4 linked regions of the Canis lupus familiaris genome follow. The main gene of each other region encodes a partner of the protein of the gene in region 3 in a complex. Links are inferred from orthologs where the notes say so. Each region holds a gene or a part of one and is shown on either strand. Other genes may lie near its edges.

Evidence for each region.
Region 1: the proteins of MAPK8 (region 3) and DUSP16 are in contact, whole or in part, in a crystal structure (PDB 4YR8), measured with the Homo sapiens proteins. The link is inferred for Canis lupus familiaris from reciprocal best matches to the Homo sapiens genes MAPK8 and DUSP16. Residues at the interface, in NP_001310257.1 of Homo sapiens: Arg189, Val196, Ile197, Leu198, Gly199, Asp229, Ile231, Trp234, Gln253, Thr255, Val256, Thr258, Tyr259, Val260, Asn262, Arg263; in NP_085143.1 of Homo sapiens: Phe215, Leu267, Asp268, Tyr271, Lys275, Pro279, Ile281, Ser282, Pro283, Asn284, Phe285, Asn286, Leu288, Gly289, Gln290, Leu292, Asp293.
Region 2: the proteins of MAPK8 (region 3) and ATF2 are in contact, whole or in part, in a crystal structure (PDB 6ZR5), measured with the Homo sapiens proteins. The link is inferred for Canis lupus familiaris from reciprocal best matches to the Homo sapiens genes MAPK8 and ATF2. Residues at the interface, in NP_001310257.1 of Homo sapiens: Asp112, Ala113, Gln117, Val118, Met121, Glu126, Arg127, Tyr130, Leu131, Tyr133, Val159, Lys160, Ser161, Asp162, Cys163, Val323, Trp324, Asp326, Ser328, Glu329; in NP_001243019.1 of Homo sapiens: Phe36, Val44, Lys48, Met51, Thr52, Leu53, Lys54, Phe55, Gly56, Pro57.
Region 4: the proteins of MAPK8 (region 3) and MAPK8IP1 are in contact, whole or in part, in a crystal structure (PDB 3VUM), measured with the Homo sapiens proteins. The link is inferred for Canis lupus familiaris from reciprocal best matches to the Homo sapiens genes MAPK8 and MAPK8IP1. Residues at the interface, in NP_001310257.1 of Homo sapiens: Lys83, Asp112, Ala113, Gln117, Val118, Met121, Leu123, Glu126, Arg127, Tyr130, Tyr133, Val159, Lys160, Ser161, Asp162, His286, Val323, Trp324, Asp326, Glu329; in NP_005447.1 of Homo sapiens: Arg157, Pro158, Lys159, Arg160, Pro161, Thr162, Thr163, Leu164, Asn165, Leu166.

Annotation. Positions count from the first base shown.
Region 1 is NC_049248.1:12,463,637-12,471,091, reverse strand, and holds the start of DUSP16 (dual specificity protein phosphatase 16), read left to right. Parts: upstream 1-2,952; 5' UTR 2,953-3,466; intron 3,467-7,455. Other genes in the region: CREBL2 (cAMP-responsive element-binding protein-like 2), read right to left, coding at 2,567-2,952. UniProt on the Homo sapiens protein: Dual specificity protein phosphatase involved in the inactivation of MAP kinases. Dephosphorylates MAPK10 bound to ARRB2.
Region 2 is NC_049257.1:19,390,895-19,397,776, forward strand, and holds part of ATF2 (cyclic AMP-dependent transcription factor ATF-2), read right to left. Parts: intron 3,032-6,882; coding exon 2,853-3,031; intron 2,040-2,852; coding exon 1,925-2,039; intron 1-1,924. UniProt on the Homo sapiens protein: Transcriptional activator which regulates the transcription of various genes, including those involved in anti-apoptosis, cell growth, and DNA damage response.
Region 3 is NC_049249.1:430,009-437,559, forward strand, and holds the start of MAPK8 (mitogen-activated protein kinase 8), read left to right. Parts: upstream 1-2,757; 5' UTR 2,758-2,906; intron 2,907-3,512; exon of another isoform or gene 3,513-3,586; intron 3,587-4,058; exon of another isoform or gene 4,059-4,208; intron 4,209-7,551. UniProt on the Homo sapiens protein: Serine/threonine-protein kinase involved in various processes such as cell proliferation, differentiation, migration, transformation and programmed cell death.
Region 4 is NC_049239.1:43,942,864-43,949,745, forward strand, and holds part of MAPK8IP1 (C-Jun-amino-terminal kinase-interacting protein 1), read right to left. Parts: intron 6,581-6,882; exon of another isoform or gene 6,275-6,580; intron 6,269-6,274; exon of another isoform or gene 6,118-6,268; intron 5,798-6,117; coding exon 5,480-5,797; intron 5,115-5,479; exon of another isoform or gene 5,062-5,114; coding exon of another isoform or gene 4,858-5,061; intron 4,007-4,857; coding exon 3,925-4,006; intron 3,644-3,924; coding exon 2,831-3,643; intron 2,649-2,830; coding exon 2,573-2,648; intron 1,986-2,572; coding exon 1,813-1,985; intron 1,628-1,812; coding exon 1,518-1,627; intron 1,412-1,517; coding exon 1,295-1,411; intron 1,197-1,294; coding exon 1,126-1,196; intron 991-1,125; coding exon 892-990; intron 587-891; coding exon 514-586; 3' UTR 1-513. UniProt on the Homo sapiens protein: The JNK-interacting protein (JIP) group of scaffold proteins selectively mediates JNK signaling by aggregating specific components of the MAPK cascade to form a functional JNK signaling module. Required for JNK activation in response to excitotoxic stress.

The sequences.
Region 1 (7,455 bases), on a different chromosome or scaffold from region 3:
TTCATTTATTTTTAAAAAATATGTATATATTTTTTATTCATGAGAGGCACAGAGAGAGTGAGAGAGGCAGAGACACAGGCAGAGGGAGAAACCCTCTGCAGAGAGCCCTCTGCAGCCTCCCTGCAGGGGGCCCAATGCGGGACTGGATCCTGGATCACGCCCTGAGCCAAAGGCAGACGCTCAGCCACTGAGCCACTCAGGTGTCCCCCCACCATACTTTATGCTCAGCCACCAGAATCCCAAACTCCAACTCTCACCTCCTCTTACTCAGGAGAAAATGGAACCTGAGACTCCATTACCTATACATAATGTGAAGAGAAAATGTGGGGGATCCCTTGGTGGCTCAGCGGTTTAGCGCCTGCCTTCGGCCCAGGGCATAATCCTGGAGGCCAGGGATCGAGTCCCACATTGGGCTCCCTGCATGGAGCCTGGTTCTCCCTCTGCCTGTGTCTCTGCCTCTCTCTCTCTCTCTCTGTGTCTCTCTCTCATGAATAAATAAATATCTAAAAAAAAAAAAAGAAAATGTGTTTTGTGTGTGAGTATGTATGTGTATGCTAGCAGGACAATGTAATTCTGCAGGACTCCAACAACTAGAGCACAGAGAAAGGCAGGATTGGGAGCTGCCAAAGACTTAAGGGCTGTTTCATAATGCCCGGTGCCGGAAGAGTAGTTCCGATTTTGCTGTACATGGCATTTAAGTATTACTCATTCACAACTATGACATGTATTCAAAGTGAAAGTAGTGTATTCACAGAAGCACTGTCCATCCAGAGACATGTGGAGTGGATTTTCTTTCCCATAATCATTAAAGATTTAAGTAACTGCTGGTTTCTAAAAATAATCAATTAAAAAGAATGAGAACTGAGTTCATTTTGCATTACTTGTGAACCCTATAGGAAGTAAGTTATGGATCGTCTACACCCCAAGATTTACCTTCATTCTTTTAGGGAAAACAATAAAATTTTATACTCTCCACTACAGTTTGCTAGCTTTAGAAATGACTCCTATGTGATTTGACAGGTAAGAAAAATAGCTCAAAATCCTATGTATTTTTCTTGGAGTTGAGACTACTGAAGATTTTGAGAGTTATTAAATGTTTCAAAAGTCTGAACTAAAGATTTTGTAGAATTTATTGCCTCAAATTAAGGAAATTAAAGAACAATGTTATTTTAGCATCCTTAAGGAGCCATAACATTATTTTCTGCAAAACGATAATGGATACAGTATTCAGATTTGCTTTCAAAATTAATAATACTGAACAATCAAGCTAACAAGGCATTCATGGAAAAATTATTTTCTGATGTCTGGAAAACTTTCAGAACTTCCCCTTTCTGTCTTGGAAACACAACTTCCTGTTGGGGTTTGCTACTTCACAAACAATCTGTTTCTCCAGGTGAGTCTCAATTCCAGACTATTGCATTGGGCTTTCCCTTCCGTCTAATCATTTTTCTTAGAGCCTTCTGTAAGAGCAGGAAGAGGGAGATAATGTAGAATAAAGCAGGCAGCACAGAAAAGCTAGAAATTTTTTTTCATTCTAAGGGTGGGTGAAACAAAAACGTGACAGCTGCAAAGTGTTAATGGTAAGGTGGGAGGGGGAAAGGGCACCCAAAGAAAGAAAAAAAGCTAGCACAAGCAGTATGCCAGAGACTGAAAAGGAAGACCTCTGAAAGGCATAAAGGAGTGACTTTCTACTTCAAAAATTGGTAAAGTCTAGAAGTCAGACTCCTTTAAAAAAAAAAAAAGTCCAATTTTCTAAACATTCTAAAACATCAATAAGCTGATCATCCCTATCTTCATGAAATAAAACTAGATAACACTAACGTAGATAGACATAGGGCAGAGATACGTTATATACACAAACTACATGAATCAGCCAAGAATGAACAACGCCTGTTAGAATCACAGGGACAAGTGATTTGGATTGCGATAGGGGAATGGTGGTAGGATATTAAGACAGATTAACAAGAAGGAATTCACTACTTTTCTTAGGGAAGGCTTTCTAGAGGAGGTTAGATTCTGGACGAATAGCAACAGGAGCTTAGCAGAGTGTTCCAACCAACCAACCACAGGAAAATAGCTCAGAGGGGGAGTGAACTGATTATATGAATGGGGCATTGAGTAAGGGAGGCTGCGAGAAGAAAGGGGAACCTTCAAGGGGAATAGGGCTGGTTCAGGGTGCCCTAATTAAGGTCTCCAAACTGGGGAAAGTCTGGAAGGGGGTCAGGGGAAGGCAAAAAGAAAAGCACGGTAAGTTTCTTCACTCGTTTTGCTGGGCAAGTCAAGGACGAGGGTTGGCACTACCTGGAAAAGCTGACAAACAGGCTTGCCCTGGGAGGGAGAAATTTCCAGAGAGGGCCCCTTCTGGAAAGACGCAGCGCCCCGTCCCCTGAATTCCTGGCTGGGTACCACGGGGGTAATAGCCGGAGGCTCCGGGATGTCTAAGGCAGGTGTTTGCTGGGTGTTGGCGTGGCTACCGGGCTGAGGTTCAGCGGCGGGTCTAGCCCTTAGCGACAAGCAGGAGGCGGCGGCGGCGGCGGCAGCTGCGCGTGCAAACCACAGGACTTACCTTACTGTCATCCATCTCCGCGGACAGGCCGGCCTGGCCAGGCGCTCCCTCCCCCTGCCCTCCCCCGGCTCAGCCGGCCTGGCCCGGCCCGGCCCGGCCCCCGCCCCGGGGGAAGAAGGGGATATGGTTCTGACTGTCTCCTCCTCTCGCCTAACAGTTCGCTTCCCTGATGCCACAGTCACGGGGACGAGGGACCAGTTCAGGAATGACAGAGCGGACCCTGGAGGCGGCCCAAAACGCCTCCTTTCGCCGCCGCCGCCTCCTCCTCCCCCTCCATGACAGTCTCTGGGTGTGTTTACAGACGCCCTGGAGAGCGGCCCGGACCGGAGAGTGGGCGGGAACACTGCACGCGGAATGGCCTCTTCGGGTGCCGTAGTCGACGGCATTCTGGGGATTGTAGTTTTCTCTAACGCACTCTCTGCGGGGCTGACTACGAAGAAAACTACAATGTCCACACACCCTCAGCCAGGCGTCTGTTTTCCTCGGGCCTGCGAGCGGTGCGGGGGAGGGGCCAGCCGGGAGGCCAGACTACGTCTCCAACGGGGCGCTGGGTTGGACCAGCCGCGCTCTGGGCACCGGTGGGACGAGCTTGGGGCCCCGTGGAAGCCCTCGGGAGGGAGGAACCCTGGGAGCAGGCCCTCCTCCGGGACGCCGAGGAGACCCTGAAGCTTCTTCATAAAAAGAGGAAAGGAAACTAATAGCGTGCAGGGCTGCAGCTGCTTTAGGGAACAATTTGGCAGTGCCTCACCGTATTAGACGTAAAGTTACGACATAGCCGGCAATTCCAAAGAAATGAAAACTTGCACACCAGTGTTCTCTCTTAGAGGCCTTATCCATAATAGTCCAAAAGTGGAGACAACCCCAATGTCCATCAGCGGATGAATGGATCCGACGAATGTGGTATGTATGTGCAAAGGAATGTTATTAGACCATAAAAATGAAGTGGAAAAACAAACAAACAAACGAAGTGCTGATACGTGCTACCGTGTGGATGAGCCTTGACAACGTGCAAAATGAAGAGCCTCATATTGTAGATTCCGTTTATAATGGAAGGTCCAGAATAGGTAATTTAAAGAGACCAACGGTTAGCTAGGGGTTGACAGGGGCTAGGGTTGGGAACCGCAGGGAGGTGGGGCAGGTGTGGGGAGGCATCGTTAGTGGGCGCCGGTGTGTTTGGTTTTTAAGGTGATGAGAATGTTCAAAAATTAAGGGCATCTAGCTGGCTTAGTGGGTGGGGCATGGGACTCCATCTCGAGTTGTGAGTTTGAGTCCCACATTTGGGTTTAGCAATTACTTAAAAATAAAATCTTTTAAAGAAAGAAAATGTTCTAAAATTGATTGGGCAGCGGCTGCACAACTCTGTGAATATTCTTAAAACCACTGAATTGTGCGGCGCCTGGCCTGGCCGGCTCAGTCAGTGGATTGTGGGACTCCTGATCGTGGGGTCTTGAGTTCAAACCCTAAGTTGGGGATAGAGCTGACTTTAACAAGACAAAACAAGAAAAACCCCTACACTGAATTATACATCTTATTTTATTATTTGTTTTTAGAGAGAGAGAGAGCAAGAGGGGCAGAGGCGGAGAGAGAATCCAAAGCAGACCCTGTGCTGAACACAGAGTCTGACGTTGGGCTGGATCCCACAACCCTGAGATCCTGACCTGACCCAAAACCAGAGTCAGGCATTTGACCAACTGGGCCATCCAGGCATCCCCTGAATAGTACATTTTAAGTGAGTGAATTTTATAGTATGTGACTTATATCTCAATAAAATCATTAAAAAATAACTAAGAGTGTCTTTGCATCCTCCTGATTTAATAAAGTCGGTGGCTCTTTGTTAGTTTAGCCTAATTAAACCACGGAAAATTTGATAAAAATTCATTAATGTTCCTTAATGTTATTCTGAAGAACTCACTGACCCAGTCCTTTTCAAAGACTCCTAAAACCCTTCCAAAATTCCATTGGAGTTCCCTGATTTAGCAATAAATATACAGAACACTCACATTTGATTTTAGGATAAACAAGTAACTTTTTAGTATAAGTATGTCCCATACAATATTTAAGACACACTTACTAAACAAAGCATTTGTTGTTTATCTGAAAATCAAATTTAACTGGGTACCTTCTATTTTATCTTTCAATTCCAAGTTGAGGAAGGGCAATAGAGAGAGGCATGCCTTGTTTTACTGTACTTCACTTTATTGTGCTTTTTACAAATGGAAGGTTTGTGGCAACCCTGCCTTGAGCAAGTCTATTAATGCCCTTTTCCCAAATAGCATTTTCTCACTTTGTGTCTCTGTGTCACAGTTTAGTAATTCTTACAATATTTCTTTTTTTTTTTTTTAAGATTTATTTATTTATTTGAGAGAGAGAAAGAAGCAGACCCCCACTGAGCACGGAGCCCAATGCCGCTGCCATGGGCTTGATCTCACAACTGTGAGATCATGACCTGAGCGGAAACCAAGAGTTGGGCGCTTAATCAACTGAGCTCCCCGAGTGTCCCAATTCTCACAACATTTGAAAATTTTTCGTTATTATTATGTTTGTTATGGTGATCTGTGATTAGTGATTATGGCTTGCTGAAAGCTCAAATGATGGTTAGCATTTTTTAGCAATAAAGATTTTTACGTTAAGGTAGGTACACTTTTTAAGGAATAATGCTATTCCACACTTAATAGACTGCAGAACAGTGAAAAAATAACTTTAACATGCACTTGGAAACAAAAAAATTCATTCAGCTTGCTTTATTGTAGTGGTCTGAGAACTGAACCCATGATATCTCCGAGTTATGCCCGTAACAGGAAAGTTGAGTCATCTCTGATCTATATAATGCTTCAGAGGAACTAAAGGAGGTCACTTCCTCCAAATAAAAACCATGTAGCCAGTTCTTGAGGCTGGTAATGGGTCTGGCATGCTGGGGTTTCAGCAGCTTGGCCCACCCTTAACCCCCAAACTGCATTCCTGGAGGTCTCAGAGACAGCTAGCCACATCCTCTCTGATGATCAGGGGAGCAAAAGTCTGTGCTCACTGGAGCTCTCTGCCTCACCTACTACCCCTTTTGTTCTCCATCTCCAGGGGCTGCTTTCCACCCCTAAAGCTTTCTATTGTGCCGCTGGCCTCAGTTTTGCTTCCCTGGCTATGCCCTTGTCACTAAGTCCTCTTTTTTGAGGTGAAACAGCTTTTCCCCTGGGTTAATCCTCTACCACTGTCTCTTCCTGCATCCCAGCTGACAAAAGTGTACCCAGTCCTCTGCAATGGCACTTATCCACTCCCATCCTTCTACAGAGGCTTTGTGTGATCTGTTTGCAGACTCAATCACCAGCCCTTCAAGGAGAGATAAGGCCTTTAAAAAAAAAAAAAAAGATTTTATTTAGAGCTAAGACCTTTTGAACCATGTAGTACAAATCTAAAAACATGCAGGGAAGTGTGTATACCAGTTTCAGGAGAATGGTTTTCTCTAGGGAGGGAGGGAGGGACTTGGGATGGGGAGTGGCTAGTTGTATATTTAACTTTTAAAGAGATGAAGCAAATATGTTAACTCTGGAAGTGGAGTTGTATTGTTGTCTTTGTATTTCTGTGCATTTGGAACATCACAATTAAAATAGAAATTTTATTTTTTTTAAAAATTTTATTTGAGAGAAAATGAGCAGGAGGAGCAGAGGGAAAAGCAGACTCCCCACTGAGCAGGGAACCAGAGGAGGAGCTCAATCCTAGGACCCTAGGATCATGACCTGAGTCTAAGGCAGATGTTTAACCGACTGAGCTACCCAGGCACCCCTTAATAGAAATTTAAATTTAAGAATTATAAGCATGCTCACTTTAGAAAGTGTGGAACTGGGCAGCCCCGGTGGCTCAGTGGTTTGGCGCCGCCTTCAGTCCAGGGCATGATCCTGGAGACCCGGGATCAAGTCCCACATCAGGCTCCCTGCATGGAGCCTGCTTCTTCCTCTGCCTGTGTCTCTGCCTCTCTCTCTCTGTGTGCCTCTCATGAATAAATAAATAAAATCTTAAAAAAAAAAAAGTGTGGAACTACTTTAAATATTTTTAAAATCTAATTTATAAAAGTAAACCTTAATCACATCATAAAAGAAGACTTTGTAAAGCATGGAAAGTCTTACTAAGAAGTATTGTGTAGTCATGTGTTAAACATTTTCTGAGAAGTACTCAGAATTGGTAACAAAGAGGGAAGAACAAGAGAGAGTATTAGTTTTTTTTTCTTTTTCTTTTTTTAAGATTTTATTTATTTATTCACAAGAGACAGAGAGAGGCAGAGACACAGGCCGAGGGAGAAGTAGGCTCCCTGTAGGGAGCCCAATGTGGGACTCTGATCCCAGGAGGGAACCCAGGATCACTCCCTGAGCTGAAGGCAGATGCTCAACCACTGAACCACCCAGGCATCCTGAGAGTATTAGTTTCTATAAGTATAAATCCTTGAGGATTTTATAATCCAAGTAGAAATTCACACGTACAGGAGACTGAACAATCACTAAAGGCATCGGTGAAAATAATAACAGACCAAACTTAATATCCATGTGTTAAATTGTTCAGAGTGGGTATGGAGTGCCAAGAATGAGACTGATCTCGGTAAAGTAAACACAGCAAATGTATTTTTTTATTTTTAAAGGAGTGGGAGGAAGTTTAGAAGGAGAATATTTTCTCAGGGTGCTGGGCCTGCTTTATATTCATGATTTTCAATCTTTTCTTCCTCCTCAAAAGGAACCTCCAAGGCATGCAATTCCTTCTAAAAATGCATATAATTTTTCCCTCCCTCCCCTCCCCACTCCTCCTTCCCCAACACACACACACACAAACACGTTTCATATACTCCCAGACACCCCGCATAGAGGCACTGTTGGCCTACGATGCATCAAGCCTCTGCTGCTGCTGTGGAG
Region 2 (6,882 bases), on a different chromosome or scaffold from region 3:
TCTAATTCAGTTTCTAAAATACATAAAGAAAGGTTCGTTTGTATATAAATATGCACATAATGACAAAGAAAGAACCTGGTTACCTCAAATAATTTCTCTAGAAATAATGTGGAACAGATTTTTTTCATTTTGCATACCTTTTTAAAAAAACTAATATTAACATTGGTAATTAGTTATTATATAGCTACAGTAGCTCTCCTTGCATTTTAGTTTTATCATAATTATATTTAACAGGGTAACTATATAATCTGAAATTCAAGGGCAAGAATGTTTCCCCCTTCAAAAATATCCTAGAAAAATAGGAAGTAGTCACCTAATATCTGAGTCCTTATAAAGTCACTCAAATAATGCATTTTGAACAGCAAGGTTCTGTCTGAAGATGATACCTCATCTTATAATTATGCCAATCAGTGCTAATTTTCAATACTTAGCAAGGCCACTTGGAAGAATGTATTAATAAAAAATATTTCATATTAATTTTAATAATTTTCCTGGGGGTATAATCTCACCAAAATGTTGGAAGTTATTGTAAATAGACTTTTAAAAATAATTTTCAAAGGCACCTGGGTGGCTCAGTCAGTTAAGCGTCTGCCTTCAGCTCAGGTCATGATCCCACAGGTCCTGGGATCCAGCCCCACATCGGGCTCCCTGCTCAGTGGGAAACCTGCTTCTCCCTCTGCCTCTGCCCATCTCCCTGCTCTTGTTTCTGCTCCCTCTCTCAAATAAAATCTTGAAAAAAAATTTTTTTAAGCTATACAATAAATGATTATATTGTACTGATCAGAAATAAATATCTGTAAGGTAAAAAAAAAATTTCTTTTTATCATATGAAGGAGTATTAGGGCTTGGGTAAGATTTCTAGGAAGATATACATTCAGAAAGTGTTATGTTGAAATTACTTAGGTGAAAACAAAAAGTGTTTTGAAAAAACTGTGGTAGGTGTTTTAAAAAGTGCTTTTTTTTTTTTTTTTAAGATTTTATTCATTTATTCATGAGAGATACACAGAGAGAGGCAGAGACACAGGCAGAGGGAGAAGCAGGCTCCATGCAGGGAGCCGACGTGGGACTCGATCCCGGGTCTCCAGGATCACACCCCGGGCTGCAGGCGGCACCAAACCGCTGGACCACCAGGGCTGCCCTAAAAAGTGATCTTAATGATGAAAACCTGAACACTGAAGACACATTTGAAGAAGAGTTTGAATAAAATTGTTATATGAAAAGTGAGAAAAGAAAAAGTATTTCTTACTCAAAAGAATGTGCATTTAAATATTCTCTATATTATTAAGTATTACAAGTAGGTGTTTAACTTGCCTATGACTTTCAAAATTTATATATTTATATTTAACATGCTCAAGAGACTTCTCTTTTGGATCTGACATGCTGATTTACCCTTCAAATGGTCAATTTCTCTGAGACATTTGCATTAGCAAACTGAAGGACTATCTACTGTTTTAGACTGTTTAGATTTCCACATGCCTGGGCCAGCAAAGGAATTCTGTAAACCCAACTTGACCATAAAAGTTCAGAGAGTGTTCTTATAAACAATTCCTACAATAATCGAAGTATCATGGAGTTACTGGACATGTGTTCTAGTATAAATATCTTCCTAAAGAATAGAACTATGTGTTAATATTTTAATTCTATGAACTAGTCAAATTGAAATGGGTTAAATAAGGATAAATTTCTTAATATTAACAATTGAAGGAAAAAAATTTTTTGGAAGATAGAAAAACATTTTCTAGTCAATTATGTTTCCCTTTACTGGTATATGCTACCACTAAAAGGGGAGTAAATACTACTAACTACTACTAAGTATTTTGTTGGATTCAGTTTCATAAACCAATCAAGCTTCCGAAAGTGTATTTTCTGATTACAAAGATCAGTTTGGTATGAAGAAAAGATTTAGTCTAAATCTCAAACTTACTGGGACTGCAGCTGGAACATGCACATTAGAACTTGTAATTGATGCAGGAATAGCAACAGGCATGGTCTGTCCATTAGGAAGATGCAACAGAAGAGGAAATGGGCCTGGTACAGGACTAAGAAAAACAGAAGAAGGAAAATTAAAGATAAGAAATCCTTATTAGTCATCTCTAAAAATATGAGTATTTTTACTATTTTTTAAAAATATATTTTAAAAATATTTTCTAACCATCACAAAGCAAATTGCAAATTTTTACTATTTTTAATTGCATCTTAAATGTATAATACATAAAGCAGTGTGGAAAAACAACAGGGGAAAAATAGGAAAAGTTAATGGATTTACTTAGGACAAGCTCCAATGTTAAATGAGAAAAATTCTTATCAGAAGCTCTTGAGGGGCACCTGACTGGCCCAGTTGGTGGAGCATGCCAACTCTTGATCATGGGATTATGAGTTTGAGCCCCACACTGAATGTCAACATTACTTAAAAATAAAATCTTAATAACAAAACAAAGAAAGCTCGAGGGATATGTGTTAAGAACTAAAAATAAGAGACCGCCTTAAATTCATAAAGTTGATTTGTTTTTAAAACTAAATTTTAGTTGGGGTGCCTGAGTGGCTCATTTTGTTAAGTGTCTGACTCCTAGATTTTGGCTCAGGTCATCTCAGGGTTGTGAGAGTTTAGATTCTCTCCTCCTCTCTCTGATGTTCCCCCCCTCCCCCAATTAAATTTTATATATTTGTTTTCTAATCTATTAGATAATATGAAGAAAAAAAGACAACCCAAATACTTTCCAAAAATCAAAGCATGCAGAATATGATTAACACATACCCACACATACCCCTAAGGCTACAATTTGAATAATTAAATGTCTTAAGAAAAACTTAATTCATAAACAGTTTAATGACTAGCCCAAATCATCACTTACACGATTGGTCTGTTGGAGGATGGTGCCTGGGTGATTACAGTACTTGAGGTTGGTGAAGGTACTGCTTGCTGAATAATTACACTTGAGTCAGAACTTGTAAGCAGCACGTTGGGAACCTGTAATGATGCTGGACGAACAATAGCTGATGTGGGCTGTGCAGTTTGTGCCAATGGTACCTCCTATTTAATGAGATAGAGAAAGAGTAGGATTTAAAAATGTAAGTCAATCCATGACGTTAGAGTGAACAGAATATAACACACTTTGAAAAGTGTCCACAGGATAAATATCCTCCCCCAAAGTAATTTCATGTTAACTTTATTTAAATAACTTAAATATAATATAAAGAAAATTTTGGAAGTAGCTATAAAGCTTTTCAAATGCAACGTTCATATTTTAATTTAAAGACATCAGAGTGGTTTTTTTTTTTTTTTTTTTTTTTTTTTTCCAGTACAACTTGTTTTCCTATCAATCCAGAAATAGGCTGGGCAACTTGGCTACGATTCCATGAGAATTTCTGTGAAAAGTAAAAATATAATTTATTCTCATGGAATTGTAGAGCTTAAAATCCAGAGAGATTGCCTAGTCCTACTTCATCATTATACTGTAAAAACAGGAAACAGGTCCAGGGAGACTGGGTTTATGGTTGATACAAATTCAGTAATAGAAACGGTTAAAAAAATTTTAACACAATACAAATGTTTGTTAATTTCAGGTAGCTATTACTATCCCCCACTCCTGATAATTTCCCAATGTCAAAAGGGCAAGGAATACTGATTAACATCCTGAATGTAAAATAAATAATTACTAGAGTGAAATCTTTCTAAATTAAAGGAAAACACAGGGCAACCTGGGTGGCTCAGTGGTTTAGCGCCGCCTTTGGCCCAGGGCATAATCCTGGAGACCTGGAATCGAGTCCTATGTTGGGCTCCCTGCATGGAGCCTGCTTCTCCCTCTGCCTGTCTATCTGCCTTTCTCTCTGCTGCTCATGAATAAATAAAATCTTTAAAAATTAATTAATTAGAGGAAAACACAGAATCTGCGAGTTAGTCAGGACCTTAAAGATGGTTTTTCCCCCCAGTTTCACAGATTAGGAAGAGATTAAGGGCTTTACATAGAACTTCTTAACTAGTTAGAGTAAAAATTGGGTCTATTGTGTTCTTTGAATTGGTCTTTATGCTGCCTATTACCAAATCTTATTAAGCCCCTTGGAAGAAAGATCAACTAGAACTATTGGAACTTCATTTATTCAACAGGTTTGAGAATTTATAGCATACCTTCAAAGGGCTAGGGGAAGAGACAATAAATAAGAAGAAAATTTCAGATAATAATATGTTACAGAGTAATACTACAGCATAATAAATTATGAAAGATTAACTGAGGGAAGGTTAGAGTTGGCTACTTCAGAGAGCAAGTAAGGTGAGCTTCTTTGCAAAAAAAAATGGTGCTGAATGAATGGATACTGAAAAAATAACAAGCGAGAGGGAGAGGGAAGCAGTACTAAGAGTAATGTCTTCGAGGTAGGAAATAACTTAGAATATTTGATGAATGTAACACAGTGGCATGAGGTGAAGGCTGGATGAGCAGATAAGCTCAGATCAACGAGGACTTAAGAAAGGAGTATTAGTCTTTTTTTTCTTTTAAAGATTTATTTGAGAGAGAGAGAATGCACCCATGAATGGGAGGTGCAGAGGGAGAGGGAGAGAGAATCTTCAGCAGACTCTAAGCTGACTGCAGAGCCCAATACTGGACTTGATCCTATGATCCTGAGATGAGCCTAAACCAAGAGCTGGACATCCAGCAGACTGTACCACCTAGGCACCCTTAAGAATATTTAGTTATCTTAAATGTAATGGCAAACCACTGAAAGATTTTAAGCAGAAAAGTGACTATAATGTGTTAAAAACAAAGCCATCTATAGAATATTGGAGATGGAAGCAGCAAATCCAATTAGAAGATAATTGTTACTAATCCAAGTAAAAGATGATGATGGCTTGGAGTAAGGTGTTAACACTGAAGACTGAAGATAAATTGAGGATATTTCAGAAGGTATATCTGATGTCTAAGAAGATTTGCTGTTGCTTTGGTGTAAAGAAAAAGAAGGGAGGCCCTTGAGTGGCTCAGTTGGTTGAGCATCTGACTTTGGCTTCTGTCATGATCTGGGGGTCCTGGAATTATGCCCTGCATCAGGCTCTCCACTCAATGAGGAGTCTGCTCATTCCTCCCCTTCTTCCCCCACTTGTGCTTTCTCAAACAAATAAAATCTTAAAAAAAAGAAAGAAAGAAAGAAAGAAAGAAAGAAAGAAAGAAAGAAAGAAAGAAAGAAAGAAAGAAAGAAAGAAAGAAAGAAGAAAGAAAGAGAGAGAGAGAGAGAGAGAGACAGCACTAAGGATTCTTGGTTTGAGCAACCAGATGGGATGGAGAGAAAATTTACTGAGCTAGAGAAAACTATGGAAAGAATCAAGAGCTCTGACTTAGATATATTAAATTTAATAGGTCTATTAGACATAGAAAAAGAAATGTCAAGATGGGAGCTGTAAATGAGTATGGAAATCCAGAAGATATCTTGGTTGACATAAGTTTGAGAGTCAACAGCATGTAGCTGTTTTTTAAAATTTATGGGTGTAGATGAGATCACCTAGGACGAAAAGTGAGAAAGACAAGAGAAGGCGGCCCAGAACAGACTTTTACAAGTTGGCACAACTATGCCCTGTCCAGAGAGAGGCTATAGACCTATAGACAGGAATGCAGGAAGAAGGATTACCCTAGAAAGATCTAAAATAGCAATGAAGAGGGAAAAACTGTTGAGTGTGGAGGAACTGGAAAGCTCTTTAGAAAAAGGATATTTATATCACAGAATTAACAGCATTTTCTATTAACTGTGATTATGTGGAAACAATCTTTATGTCCAAAAAGAACAGGATAATACATTAAGATAATGATAAAGTGCAACCATTAAAAATTTTTCTAATGACATGGGAAAGTGTTCATTATACTACAAAAGTAAACTAGGATCAGGCTGCCTATAAAAATATTTTTAATGTTATTTTATTTTATTTATTTATTTTTAAAGATTTTATTTATTTATGAGAGACACAGAGAAAGAGAGAGGCAGAGACACAGGCAGAGGGAGAAGCAGGCTCCACGCAGGGAGCCCGACGTGAGACTCAATCCTGAAACCGCAGTATCATGCCCTGGGCTGAAGGTGGCGGTAAACCGCTGAGCCACCAGGCTGCCCTATTTTTTTAATGTTATTTTAAATTAGAAAGTAAACTGCCCAGCGAGAAGTCTGCTTCTCCCTCTGCCACTCCCCAAGCTGTGCTCTCTCTCAAATAAATAAAACGTTTTTAAAAAAGTAAACTACGGTTTTTGAATTTTTCTTTGTATCCATTTAATTATTCACATATATATACATATATATTCACTTATATATGTGACTTCTAATTACTCACTTATGTATGTGTATTTGTATAATATTTGCATGTATCTATGAAAACTGTTTCAAAATATTGGTAATTCTTATCACTCAGTTATGGGCTAACAAGATTTTGGTTTTCTTCTTCATATTTTTCTGTATTAAAGTATTTATAATGAAACTCACTTTATAATTAGGAAATGAGAATAACAATGCACGAAACCTCTTAGGTCAAAGCATTTATTCTTATGTAGAAAGTTACTTTTTCTACCTTACTTCTAGATCCTGTCATGACAGAAGTCCATTAATTCATTTACAGTTTTAGAATAACATAGTATACAAAAAGAACAAGATAATACATTAAGATAATGATAAAGTACAACTATTAAAAATTTTTCTAATGACATGGGAAAATGTTCATTTCCTCTTAATTGCCATTCATTGCCTCTTAATTGTGCCACACGTAGCACCCCATGTATTCATTATACATGCTTATGAACAAAAAGTGATCAAGAAATACCCATGGGGACCTGGGTAGCTCAGCTGGTTAAGCATTCAACTCTTAAAGATTTCAGCTCAGATCATGATCTCAGGGTTGTGAGATAGAGCTCCGTGTCG
Region 3 (7,551 bases):
TCATCAATGTCTTGTGGTTTTCGGAGTAGAGGTCTTTTGCTTCCTTAAATTTATTTGTAAATATCTTATTACTTTTGATGCTATTATCAATGAGATGAATTTTTTTCTTTTTCAGAAAATTAATTGTTAGTGTCTGGAAATACTACTGTTAATTTTGTATGCTACAACTTTACTGAATTCATTGATTAAAACTAAAGAGTTTTTTTTTTTTTTTCTGAATCTTTGGGATTTTCCGTGTATAAAATCATGTCATTTGTAAATATAGACAATTTTGTTTTTTCCTTTCTTTGTTTTTTTTTTTTTTCCCTTTCTACTTTGGATACCTTTAATTTCTTTCCTTGCCTGATGGCTCTAGTAGGACTTCTAGTACTGTGCTAAATAGGAGTAGTGAGAGTGGACATCCTTGTCTTGTTCCTGATCCTAGAGCAAAAGCTTTCAGTATTTCACCATTGAGTATGATGTTACTTGTGAGCTTGTCCTGTATGCACTGTATTGTGTTGAGATACGTTCTTTCTATGCTTAATTTTTAAAGAGTTTTTATCATGAATGTATGTTGAATGTTCAATATTTATCTCTTATCTGCCTGAGCCCAGCTCTGTATATCCACCTGTCAATGTGGCATCTCTTTTGGGCAGATCAAAAGCCTTCAAACTACCTGCTCTCACAGTCTTTCCACTTAAGCTTCATCCTCTGCCAAGATGGCCACCCCAGTGAACTAGTACCAATAGCCACCATTGGCTACAAACCAGAAACTTATGAGCTTTTCTTGATGACTCCCCTTCCCTTCACTACCTGCTTAATCTGTCACCAAGTTCTGTGCATTGGATCTCCTAAATGGTCTTCAGATTCTTCTTCTTACTGTTTCCATAACCATCACTCTAGAGCATCACCCTAGACCCTTCTACCATCTGGCCCACTCCACTTCTTTGCTGAAGCATGTCAGGACTTCCAATTGCACTTAGGATAAAGACATCGGTAGTATGACTGCACTAGGTCCTGTCTCTTTCCTACCTTCCCAACTTCATTTCATAGCTCCTTCTTGTCCTTCCAGCAGCACTTGGCTTTCTTCAGTTTCTCCAACTCACCCTGCTCCCTCTCATCACAGGACCCTTACACACCAAGTTATCTTCATCTGAAATACCTTCTGCCTAGTTAAATCTATTCTAACTTTAGAATAGAAGAGGCAGTTCCTCAAGGAAGACTTTCCTAGCCTTATTAATTCTACCCATCAGTTTTTTTTAGATTTATTTATTTATTCATGAGAGACACAGACTGAGAGAGAGAGGCAGAGACACAGGCAGAGGGAGAAGCAGGCTCCTTGCAGGGAGCCGGATGTGGGACTCGATCCCGGATCCCAGGATCAGGACCTGAGCTGAAGGCGCCTCTGCTGAGCCACCCAGGTGTCCCAATCAGTTTCATAATACTTTGCAGCCATATCAATTTGCAGTGATCATTTTGCATTTGTTTACCATTATTAATTCCATATTATGTTGATTACATATGTAAGTTCCATTGTATTGCCAGTGCTAGCACAGTGCCAGGTACAGAATGGGCATGTGATAATTGTTTATTGTAGAAATAAAGGAAGAAAGGAAAAAAGGCTGAGAGAGCAAGGAAACGGGGAGAGAATGTACAAATGATTGTTCACATTTATATTTCATTTCAGAATCACTGGAAACAGGCCAACTCAACAGGACAAGGGAAGATAGTATTCCTGGATTCAGTCATTTACTCAACAATATTCATGTGTTCATTATTAAAGTAATGTAATTTTCTTTTTTTTTTAATTTTTATTTATTTATGATAGTCACAGAGAGAGAGAGGGAGGCAGAGACATAGGCAGAGGGAGAAGCAGGCTCCATGCACCGGGAGCCCGATGTGGGATTCGATCCCGGGTCTCCAGGATCGCGCCCTGGGCCAAAGGCAGGCGCCAAACCGCTGCGCCACCCAGGGATCCCCTAATCTGGCAAATTTCTTTTCAGGTTTTTTCCATGTATGCATAATACATAGGTAGGATCATTATATAGAGACCTGCTTCTTTGTTTTCATGATACATCGTGAACATTTTCCTGTATTGTTAAGAATTCCTTGAACACCTGGCATTTAAATTGCTAAGCTACATTCTATTGGATGGATGGATGTAATTTAGACGCCCTTCCACCCATTGTTGGATATTTAACGGCTTGCCAATTCGTCACTCCTGCAACTAACGAATACACGCTTTGCGGGAGCTCAGAGATAAATAAGGTGATGAATTAAATCTAGCACGAGCTGGATTTGGGGAAAACAGGAGGCAGCTTCTTCCAGGTGGCTGAAAGGAACAATCACTCGCCGTAGGTGACGAGGCCCTGAAAGGAACGTGCTGTCGGTCAAGGTAAGCCCCGTTCTGTGTCTCGGGTGTGTGCCCGGCCCAGGGCCTGCTCCCGGGCGCCCGGCCTCAGGGCAGGCACCTCGCCTCCGGCTCCCACTAGGGGACGCCCCGGGCCGGGAGCCGCACGTGCCGCGCGCAGGGCCCCGCCCCCACCGGCCCCGGACACGCCCCTCGCGCCCGGTCCCGGCGCGCCCCCCGCAGCTCCGCCTCCAGGCGACCTCCGCGCGGCCTCCCGCTCCCGGAGGGGCCCCGCCCCCGCCCCGCCCCCGCATCCGGGCCCCGGGGCCGCCCCGCCCCGCCCGCCCCGCCCCGCCCCGCCCCGCGGGCCGCCTGCGAGGCGCGGGGGCGGGCCCGGCGCGATGACGTGGGCGGGCGTGCGCGGTGACGGCCCGCGTTCCTGTTACTCAGCGGAGCGGCCGGGGCCGGACGACGGGGCCGGGTGCGCGGAGCCGCCCTGGGTAACGGCCGTGGCGACCGCCCGGACGGCGCCAGTCCCGCGGGCGGGCTTCCCAGTCGCCGTGCGCTGCGTTGCGGGGTGAGTGCGGCGGCTGCCGCGGGGCCCGGGCGCCGGCGGCCCCGCCGTGTTTATGTTATTGTGCCGCCGCCGCCGCCGCCGCCGCCGCCGCCGCCGCCTTCTCCGCGGCCGGGACCCCCTCCCGGGAGTGGGGGCGGGAGCGCGGCGGCTCGGGGCGCGCGGCGGGCGGGCGGGGGCGGGGCGGGGCGGGGGCGGCGCGGGAACAATGGCGGGCGCGGAGGCGGGGCGGCCGGGGGCGTGGGGCTGCCGGACCCCGGCCCGCGCGCCCGCCCCGCCCCACAGCCCCGCGCGCTGCCCTCGCGGATGCCGCGTCCGCGTCGGGAGGGAACGTGGGGCGGGCGCTGGGCGGCGGGTCCTGAGGCGATTCGGGGAAGGTCGGGCGGAGGCGCCTGACTCGCTCCCGCGGCCGCCGAGTCCCGACGCCCGCCCTCGCGCACGGGCTCTCTTTGTGCCGAGGCTGCGGGCGGAGGCGCCGTCAGCCCTGGGCTGCGGGGTCCGCGGGGCCGGGCCGGGGTCGGCGTGCGCGAGCGCGGCCTCCCCTCGGGGGTCGCCGGTGCGGACCTTCCGGCCCTCCCCGCCCCCTCCCCTTTGTCTTGCACTCGTGTTCCCAAGGCTCAGACGGTGGAGCCGAGTCGGTCGTAGAGGATCGCGACGAACGCCTGCCGCGCGGGTGTCTGAGGGTGCGTAGCCGCGGGCCGACTACGGGCATCGGGGTTGCGGGGTCACTGTTTCTACCTCTGAGATTCAGGAGCCGCCTCGGTAGGATTCCGGCCTGTCAGGCCGTTGTGCTTTGGGATGAGCATCCGGCAGGTATCTGGGCCGGTGGAACATGTGTTTATTTCATTCATTCATTGAGCAGCTGTTCAGCACTGTACTCAGAGTTTGAAGCGAAGAGAAATACTTTTTTGATGGAGGAGGATGCTTTGAAATGTAATGGATGTCTTTTTAAATGAGTTATGTAAGCAGTGTGCGTTAAAGGTGTCGTTATACTCTGGGTCATTTATTTTTTTGGTTTTGGGTTTTTTTTCTTTTTTCTTTTAGTACAGTTAGGAGGTTGATCTAAACGTACAATGGCTTTCTTTATTTACAAATTTAACTTTTCAGTTTTAACAGCCTTACAGTCTTAAAAGTCATTTGTAATGTTTATCTCAGATTTCCCTGCTGTGGGTTAAACCTAGGAGATCACATGCTGTAAGGGAACATGCTCAGTGCTGTGCCTGACAAAAGCAAGCAATCAAAATGGGATTTCCTTGAGGACAGGCCTGTCTTTCATCTGTGTCTCCAGCCCTAGCCTGGAATATAGTAAGTGTTCAATAAGAGCTTGATGAAAAACTCTTCACGGTTAATACTATTTAAAATCCAGTCTTTACAGTTCTTTACAGTTCTCTGCAAACTCACTTTCAGTGGGCTAAGTGATTCGTTCATTTGTACTATCTGTCACCGCATCAGGGGCTTTTGAATATTTTAGTTTTTTTTTTCCTAGCACTTCTAATTCATTATCCTAAAATAAAATATTGTCTAAAATGCTTTTGTTGTTTTTGTCTTTTTTTTTTCTTAGTATGTGTATCACACACAGACATAGTGATATTACAGCAGGGGTCTAAAATGATTGAATTTGTCCTTTTTTGAACATTGCTTGAAAAGTTTCTGATGACGCCTGTAAGGGGAAAAGCTAGAGTATGGGAAATAAGCTACATGAAAGTTTTATTTGAAATGTTTAATTTCTAATTGCATTTGTAGAAATGTTTAATTTAAAATTCTACCTTGGTGAAGCATTTGGGCCTAACTGAATTTAAGATTTTACTATTGGAGAAGCATATGGGCCTGAAACTCCAAATAATACTGATTTATTCAAGTTACATCGTTTTTCCACTCACAGTTTAATAAATTTTAGCATGTTTTGGATATGAGAGAATTTGAAATGAGCTTATAGTATTGCCTGATGCAGAGAACAAATTAAAAGGAAATACTTCATTAAGATAAGGAATGAAAATCATGAGATACCAAACTTTTATTGATTTGTCTAGTTACAGTATGTCAGATTTCAGAAAGTGTTACTGATACAATCCTTTGGTGGTAGCTCACTGTAAGGCTACATGTCAATCCAGTTTTTTGTGTTTTTGAAATTCTTTTGGTTTTTAAAAATAACAATTTTATTGAGATACAAATGACATACCATAAAATTCACCCGTTTAGAGTGTGCATCAGTATGGGTTTTAAATATATTCAGAGTTCTGCGTTGATTGCTACTATGCAATTCCAGTACATTTTCATCACCCCAAGAAAAACTACGTACCCATTAGCAGTTACTCCCCTTTCCACTCTAAATTATGTTTATTTTATTTTATTTTTTAAAGATTTTATTTATTTATTCATGAGAGACACAGAGAGAGGGGCAGAGACACAGGCAGAGGGAGGAGAAGCAGGCTCCATGCAGGGAGCCCGATGTGGGACTTGGTCCCCGGACTCCGGGATCAGGCCCTGAGCTGAAGGCAGACGCTCAACTGCTGAGCCACACAGGCGTCCCCTAAGTTATGTTTAAAAAGAGATATCACTGATTCTTTTGGTGAGTATATTCCATTAATGAATTTGAAATGGGCTGTCTTTAAGTGTCCTGACAGAGTAGGAAACTATATTCTTATTATACTCCTTTAGATCCTGAGAGAACGGCCACTTGGAAAGGAAATTTAAGAATAAACTCCATCCAAATTAATGAGGTTAGAATCTTAACTCAATGCCTAATACTATGGAAATGACCTTCACCAAGTGAAGGTACTTGGTGCTCAGGGAAACAACTTGAAGTAATTTAAGTGACCAGTCCTTAGCTATTCTAGAGGCAGTCAAGGAAGTTGTATATTAGAAGTCTGATTCATATTAGTGTGTTTTGCCTATGAATTGATTTGGACACATTCAGATCATCTAGATAGTTCAGATGTTGTGTTGCACATGTAGAAGTATAAAGTAATGTCTGACATTAAGATGCCAGTTCTCTAGAGGTCTCTGGTCAAGTCAGTGGTATGGGTAGTAGCCTTTCTGATTTATGTAGTGCAAGGAAGTAATTATAGCCACATAGTTCTAGATATGAATCATTTGCTTAGTTCAGGGAGCTGTGATGCTTATTGTCTTAGTCATGAGCTCTTTACACGAACATTTAAAAACATTGGTCTTCTTACTCTAATACAGATTAACTTGAACTTTGATTTCAGAAATGAGTTCTGAGTCAACAGACTTTACTACCTAAAAGGAGACAGGAGTATTGAAATAAGAGCTGTTCTATCATTCAGGGCGATAGGTGAAACTAGATTTATCCAGGAGTCAGACCTAGGTTAACTTCTCAGTTCTGTCTTCTAGACTTTGTCATCAACAAGTTCTAGAGCTATAGAAAAGTTGCTTAACTTTTTTTTTTAAAGCTGTAAACAGGCTGTTGGATTTTTTTTTTTAAGATTCATTTATTCATGAGAGACACAGAGATCAGGGATGGGAATAAAAGCACATCTAGCAGTGAATTTATGTTCTCTTAAAAGATTTATAAGAGGGCTTCCCCCAAACAAACAAAAGCCTGCCCCAGATACCTGGATTTCATTGAAATCCATTTTTTTAAATTATATGTGAGTATGTATGTGTATAAGATCTTTTAGAAAATTTATTAGCTGCCATTCTTTTTCAGGGTGGTGGGTTATGTCACGAATATAGCTAATAAAGTGTAAATGTATGTCTCCTTTTACATTTGGTAGTACATTAGGTTTGGTTAAAATGTGTCTGTTCTTTAGAAAGCTAAGGAGCCCAAATTTAATAGTGGTTGTTAATATGGACTTTAAGGTCAGCTCTGAGTTCAAATTCATGCTCCAAATCTAACTAATTATATGGTTAGTTAGTTCAGGTTATATAACATCTTTGGGCCTGTTTTATTGTCAAGTGAGAATAGTAATAGCACATAATCTCATAGGCCTATAAGGTTTAAGTGAGGCATTGCACGTAAAGTGCTTGGCACTAATACAGTACCTGGAACACTAGATATAAGTATTCAGGAAATTTTAGCTATTATTATAGCTTATTATTTTTAACTTGGAACAAATGCAAAATGCCAAGTGAATTGAAAACTAATTTCATGTATACATTTGGATTTGCCAGGAAATGCCAGTTGTTTCCCCCTGCATCTCGGGTTTATTTAAAATTGGATTTTCTCACCTAATCTGAATTGACTGAAATGATTTAACATTTGGACCAGTAATCCTCTCTGATTTAAAATTTGGAAATGTTCCAAAAGCAAGTATTAAAAGAAAATTATTTGCCACATTCTCTGATACAAAGTTATTTTGCCATGTTTTCTTTTCCTACTGTAGAGAATTGCCTAAGTTTTTCTAGGTTGATTTTTGAGAGATTTCTAAAAGAATGGTAATCCAGGAGCTGGGAATAGCTATATCACGTTACCTATGTTTGAAGAAAATGGAATACTGTTGTGTCTTTAATCTTACTGGAATTTTTGACTCCGAAGAGTGCATATTTATGAGAGACTGGATAACCACCAGTTCATTGAGCATTTTCTAGAGGTCTCTAGAAAAACAAGAGAGGTTAGAAGTAGCATCTGGAAATATTTTTCCTGTATTTTTCTAAGTTTTCTGTGTAGTGTTTCTGTGGTTATATT
Region 4 (6,882 bases), on a different chromosome or scaffold from region 3:
CTGGGAACAGGGACCGCACCCCCACCTGCTGCGAAGTCCTGGGGAGGTGGCTGGGCTCAGCCTGAGCTCAGGGCCTCCGGCTGGGGTTGGGAGCTGGGGGTGGGGTGGGCACTGGCGGGCGGCACGGGCTTCGTCAAAGTAGGAGCCTTTGCCAGAAAGCCGGAGGCCCAGCAGGGGAAGTGAGGCCCAGGATGCGACAACAGGGCCCTCTGCTCCTGCAGTGGACATCCTTCCTGGCCAGAGGCCTGACACCCCTCAGCCCAGCAACCCCCCAATCCCCAGGCAGCCTGCTCTGTCTTCCATAGATGAATCTAGTCCCATATATTACAATAAACTGCATTTGCCTCTCCCCATAAACCCCGCCCTCCCCCACCCTCGGCCAGAGGCCCCCACTTCCCCATCCTCTGGTGGTGACGGGTGCCCCTCCTCAAGCGGTGCTGTGTCCTGTCAGCAGCCAGCTGTCCTGGCCGCGGGCCCGAGGGCCCGGGGGATGTAGAGGGCCGGGCAGCGCTGCTACTCCAGGTAGATGTCTTCCGTGGGGCACGTGTACTCCACGAACTGCTTGTAGAACTGCTGGAAAGCTCTCCTAGGAAGCAGGCAGACACACGTGACGGGAAGAACGGGCTCTCCACCCAAGGCTTTTAAACTGGAGCCTCGGGGTCCCTGGGTAGGGCTCAGGGTCCCCCCAACCGAGCTGCTTGGCTCTGTTCTCTACACACTGTGCCTCCCGGGGAAGACTTCAGTCGAAGGAAGGGCCCAACCACCAAAACGTTTGGGGGCTCCTCCAGACCCCGCAGCCCTGACACCAGGCCACGAGGCGTGGAGAGCTGTGAGGAGGACTAGGGTGCACTCCAGGGCTGGGTGCTCGGCAGGACACACACACGGACATACCCCACGGATTCTGCGAGGGCTTTGGTGGATTCCTCGGACACAAAGACATGGCAGGCAAACCGGTGGTCAGCGGGGTGCTTGGTGATGAACCCAAAGTACCTGCGGGAGGGCAGCCGTCTGTGTGAGGGCGGGACGAGGGTCCAGACCCCTCCAGGCATACCCGCAGACCCGCACCCTACCGTAATGGCTCCGGGCCGCCCCCCTAGGCCTCACTCTCTGTCCCCTCCCTCTTACTTGTTGTTCTTTGGATGGTATCCACAGAAAGAGATGTTTTTCAACTGGAAAAAGTGGCTACATTTATTCCCCTACGGGAGGGAGAAGAGAGGCAGGGCATCATCAGCCCGCAGGGGCCACGGGTGGGAGATCTGGTGGCGGGGCTGGGGGCCGGGGCCAGGGCGGTCACCTTGGCCTCCTGGGAATCATCAGCCTTGACGCCGATCTTCACGCCCCGCACGCTGATCTCCAGGACGCAGCTGGATGGCGGGTTAAAGTGCACGGTGAGCCGGCGGGTGGTGGCGATCTGGGGGGGAGGGACAGGAATCAGGCGCTGGGCGACCCTCTCCCCGGAAGAGGAGGGGGACTGGGCTGGGGGTGGGCGCCCCTCCAAGGGGACAGGGAACAGGCACCTTTTGCATAGCGGCACAGAGCACGTCGTTGCCCTTGTGGTAGGGGACCTGGACCGAGCCCAAGAACTTCACCCGGAACTGGTCCACCCAGTCACTGTTTTTGGTCAGGGCTGGAAGGCAAGCGCGAAGTGAGGAGTGGAAGTGCCAGCGGAGGGGCCACCAACCCCAGATGTCCCAACTTGGCTGGGCCTAATGTCATCTCTGCGAGGGCCCTTCCTGACGGTGTGAAGTCTCCTGGCAGCGAGTCAGGGAAGGGCAGACGGGGGCCCAATGGCGAGGAGGGGAAGGACACTACCTGCCATATGTTCAGGCTCCTTGGTGACCTCGATGGCATAGTAGGCAGGAAAGACGCCCCGGGCGCCCGTGCGCATGTTGTAGGCTTCGTACCAGTAGTCCTCGGCCTGGAGCTCCACCAGCAGGGGGTCGTCCACCTCCAGCTCAAGTTCGTCTTCGTGTCGAGGCACAAACCTGTCCCCCACCAAGGGCACGTGAGGAATTCAGCACCAGGGCCTCCCGAGCCATCTGCTCGCCACGCTACTCTGAGGTCAGGTGGCCACAACAGCAGCACTAGTTCAATAAACCCCCTCGAAGTCTCCCGAGCCTGTGATAACGTTAGTTCCTGGGCGAGAGTAAGATCACACAGACGTGCACCTGCCACTGAGCTGGCGGGCTAAGGGAGGAAGTGCCCACAGCCACTCAGGGGAACCAGAGGTAACCGGGAGGGAGCACTTCCCCGGGAGGGAGGTGAGGAGTGTGCCTTGGTGTGGTCGGGCAACATCTCTGCTGGGTGCCCTCTGGGGCTCCGGCCCCCAGCCACACTACGTGCTCCATCCCAGACCCTGGCAACGCAGGAAAGGCCACACTGCACTGACCCATCCCCTCCCATCACCCTGCTCTGAGTTCCACCACGATGGATGCCATCCCCCTGGAACCAAGTGGAGGGAGGAATGCCAGTGCTGGGGGCTGCGTCCAGGCCACGCAGAGATGGCAGGGGCATGGGGGTGGGGGCAGGTGGCCCCAGTGTTGCCTGGGCACCCCAACCCTGCTGCTCTTACCTGAATATGGCCCGGTGTGTCTGCTCCTGCTCCTCCCCGTTGATGACACAGGAGAAGAGCCCGAAGGACTCCGCACCTGTACGAGGGGGGTGAGCTGGAGAAGAACCGTCCCACTTCCGGCTGAGGTTGCGGTGGGGGGCAGTAGCAAGTGCTCAGTCCCAATGCCCTGAGGTAGGCGGGCCAGGCCACCTTCCAGGGACACCCTCGGTCTGGCTCTCCCTCATCCCAGGTCCCCTACCGCGCCTGCTGCAGACTCACTGGAGGAGCGAGAGCGGCCACTCATGAAGACGTTCAGGAACTTCTTGGAGAAGTGGACGTCGGGCTCGTCGGGCGTGGAGTCCTCGGAGAGGCAGGCTGAGGGCCGTGGCCGGGGGGCCTCCTCGTATTCCTCCCCAATGGCCGACTCATAGGGTGACGAGGCAGAGGCGCAGTTGTCATAGACGGTGGCCGAGTCGCTCTCGTCGCTGTAGTCCCCGAAGCACGGCCGCAGGCTCACCAGCTCCAGCTGTGCGTGCTCATCCACCACCAGCGTGTACTTGACCGAGTCGTAGGACAGGGCGCTGGTGTCCGAGCTCAGCGAGGCCCGTGGAGGTGGCGGCGGCTCCCCAAGGCTCCCCCGCCACCCTCCGCCCGGCGGCTCGGCCCGCTCCGGGGACGACAAGCAGTCGAAGCCCTCGTCCTCCTCGCTGATGGAGGGGTGCGGCCGCCCCGCGGTGGAGGGGTAGGTGGCAGGGTCTGGATCGGAGCTGACGGACATACGGCTCTCGGCCGGTGGCAGGAAGGCGGAGGTGGGCTCCGCAGGGTCCGGGGGCCTCTGCACCGGTGTCAGGTAGATCTCCTCGGTGGCCTCTAGCCGCACGTCCGCCTGATAGTGGATGCGATCTCGATGCGAGTGGCCGCGGCTACTCGGCGGGGCGGCGGGGGGGCCGCCGGGAGGGGCCATCTGCGTGGCGGTGCTGCGGCGGCAAGGGCTGTCGGTGGAGGTGCCTCGGTCCTTGGTGGTGGTGGGGCTGCTCAGGGGCGGCAGCTCATCGCTCAGGCAGATGTGCTCATGTGGAGGCGTCTGCTCCCCTGGAGAGCAGGCAGGTCAGTGCTAAAGGCAGGTGGACTCGTCCCTGACTCCCAGGCCACCTGCCCCCTCCACTCAGCATGTGGGACACAGAAACCAGGGGAAGGCTCCGGGGCCAGTGCTCTCACTCCCACCCCAGCTGACTTCAGATGGGCCTGCTCCAGGCTATGGGACGGGCAGTTTACCTCAACTCGGCAAGATGGAGAGATTGCCCAGGTTTGCTCTCTGCAGGGGAAACTGAGTCAGGGCAGGTAGAGGTCCGGGTAAGGGAAGGAAGACTTACCGGTCTTCAGGGGTGATGATGACCGAGACACCCGATCCTGCCAACTGTGCTTCTTGCCCAGAGAATTATTATTCAGTGTGTCCTGTGCAGAAAACAAAAGGCCCTTGTGACAGAAGCAGTCAACAGTGCCCGGCACAGGGAGGCCCTGGCCCTGCCCCCATCAGGCCATCCCTAGGGCGTTTGCTGCACCCCCCGCCACACACACACATACACACTGGCCAAGGGCCTCACCCCCAACCCTCTTCAAACAGGCAGGAGGGGTGGCAAGTCATGGCCCTCCTGGCCAGACCTGCTGGCTCTGGGAAGCTGGCCAACCCTTGGGGAGATGCTCTTATCAGCCTCAGCAAAGGTGCTGATGGCCAATATGTGTGCTGGGGAGGGGGGAGGAGTGAGGGAGAAGCAAGAGCCATCTGGGGACAGAGCCAGACCCCCAGTCCCAGACATGGAGGCTTTCCGTGGTAGATGCTCACTTCCAGCCAAGTCCTGGAACTCAGGAAGCTATGATCTAGGGAAGGGGCAGGGACATTCTAGGAAAAGTTGAAAAAAGGGCAAGGAAGGGTCTCCTAGCAGGTGGCCTGGGGGACCGGGATGAATCATCCACATGATGAATCAATAACATGGTTCCCCCACCCCTCCAGGAGCACATGACTGAGAAATGACAGATGTAGTTGTCAGCGGCCTGCCTTCCTGGATCTCTCGGGCTGCCCACCCCACGCGGTTGGTGTCCTGGGTCCCCTCTCCACCATGCCTCCAGGCAAGGCTCCCACACACACTATTTAGGCCCCCTCCCCTGGGAACACTCATAGGCTCTCACATGCAGGAGTTTGGCTGCCAGAATCCACCCCAGAGACTTGTGGGAAAGGGGCCAATCCTCTCCCTGCAGCCCCTGCACCCTTCACCCGCAGCCCCACCTCCCGAGCCCCTCGTCTGTACCTCTCTTGACTGGGCCTGGAAGACAAAGGGCCACAGCCGGCTCTCCCCCACCCTATTCAACCCTCCTTGGCATCCAGCCACCCAGCCCAGGGGCCCTGGGCCCCCAACTCGGCCAGGCAGCTCCACCTCCCTTGTCTCTCCCCTGCCTCCGGGAACTCCCAGCTGCCCACATCTCACTCTGGCGGCGGCCTCCGAGGTCCCCATCTCCTCCTCTTACCAACCCTCCATGACCTCCCCCCGCCCGCAAGGACCACTTCAGGTGCTCTCCTCTTGGGGCCCCACACCCCTGGGGGAAACCGCGCCCCAGCCTGAGGCCCGAGCTCCAAACTCCTGCAACTAGCCCTCAAAGGCCTGCCCTGTGCTCCCGAGCCCCCTGCTCGCCTACTACCCAGGTCCCCCCACTGTCCGTCCCGTCCCTTCACCCCTTCAGCCTCCCCGAGGCTCCAAAGCCCGTCGGCCCGCCCCGGCCGCTCGCAGGGCAGATCCCACCCGCCCGCCTGGGGTCCCGCGCGCCCGGCAGGCCCCTCTCCCGCGGCCCCTCGCGCCTCCCCGACGTGCTCCCCGCCCCCGCGCCGCCCCGGGGCGCCGCCCCTCCAGCCCCGCCCCGCGCCGCTCGCCTCACCTGAGACCGCGGCACCTGCGGGAAGAGGTTGAGCGTGGTGGGCCGCTTGGGCCGGTACGTGTCCCCGCCGCCCTGGCCCTGGCCCTGGCCCTGGCCCTGGCCCTGGCCCTGGCCGCGGGGCGCCGGCTCCTGGCGGGGCTCGGCCTCGGGCGGCCCCGCTCCCGGCCGCCGCGCCGCGCGCTCCTCCTCCTCGTCGTCGTCGTCCTCGGCGCCGGGAGTGTCGCCCGCCGCGTCGATCAGGTCCATCTGCAGCATCTCGGCCTGCAGCCGGCTCCCCGCGCCGCCGCCGCCCCCAGACAGCAGCCCGGCGCGCGGGGGCTGCGCGGCGCGGGCGGAGGGGCGTCAGGGGGCGGGGCCGCGCCGGGGGCGGGGCGGGGCGGGGGCGGGGCCGAGGCCGCCGCGCACCGCCCCCCGCGCGGGCGAGTCCATTCCGCCGCCGCCGGGGGGGCCGGGAGGGCGCGGGGGGCCCGGCGGGGGGGGGCGCGAGGACGCGCGGGACCAATCCGCGGGCGCCTTCGGTAGGCCGCAGCGCCCCCTCCCGCGGTGCCCCCCTCCGACTCTCGGCACCCTCCGGTTCCCTTGGCAACGGCCGGTGACCTCACCGGGGTTGTAAGCCGAGCCCAGAGTGAGGTCACCGCTGTTGCCATGGGGACGCAGGGTCGCCTAGGAGTTCGGGCCCCACAAGGGATGGAGGGAGGGCGGCGGGGCGAACAGGAGCAGCGAAGCGCGGCCGGAAGAGGGGTGCTGGGGGGAGGGGCACCCGCCCCGCGGAGGGTCCTCCGACCTGAGGTGCGCCCTCGGGCCGTCCCAAACCTCCGTAATTCCCGTCTAGTTTCCGCTCTGCCTCTGACTCCCCGGCACCCTGGACAGATCCCGGGCCTCCAATTCCCTCCCAGCTCCCTGCCTCCCCGCTTCCCGGGGCGGTGAGCGCTCGCCGGCAGGAGCGTGTGAAAGCCCCCCCCCGCCCCCCGAGCTTGTCTGAGGCCCACAGGGTACCCCTCTGGCTAGTACTGCCGCCGGGACCCCGCTGGTTGCAGGGACCAGCCCTTCCCAAACTCTGCTGGTGCACGTGGGATGAAAGGGTGCGGGATTCCCAAACAGGTGTGCGGCCTTACAGAAGCTAGTCAGCGCCCTGGGACCATTCCCCACCCTTGCTGGCTGGGCCAGAGCAGGGAGGATTGGGGGCGGGGGGGGGGGGGATTGCAGCGTTATCCCCACCCCTTGGTTTCCTCTTGCCTGGCAGGGCTTATAGGATCTCTGTAACAGGCAGCAGGGGGTCACCCAGAGACAGGCACCCCACCCCACCTCACACTGCAGCTCTCCTTTGCGGACTGATACCATGTCTGCGGTGGCCACACTCCCTCCAGGGGGCTCCCAGGAGCTCCGGGCTCTGCAATCTGGCC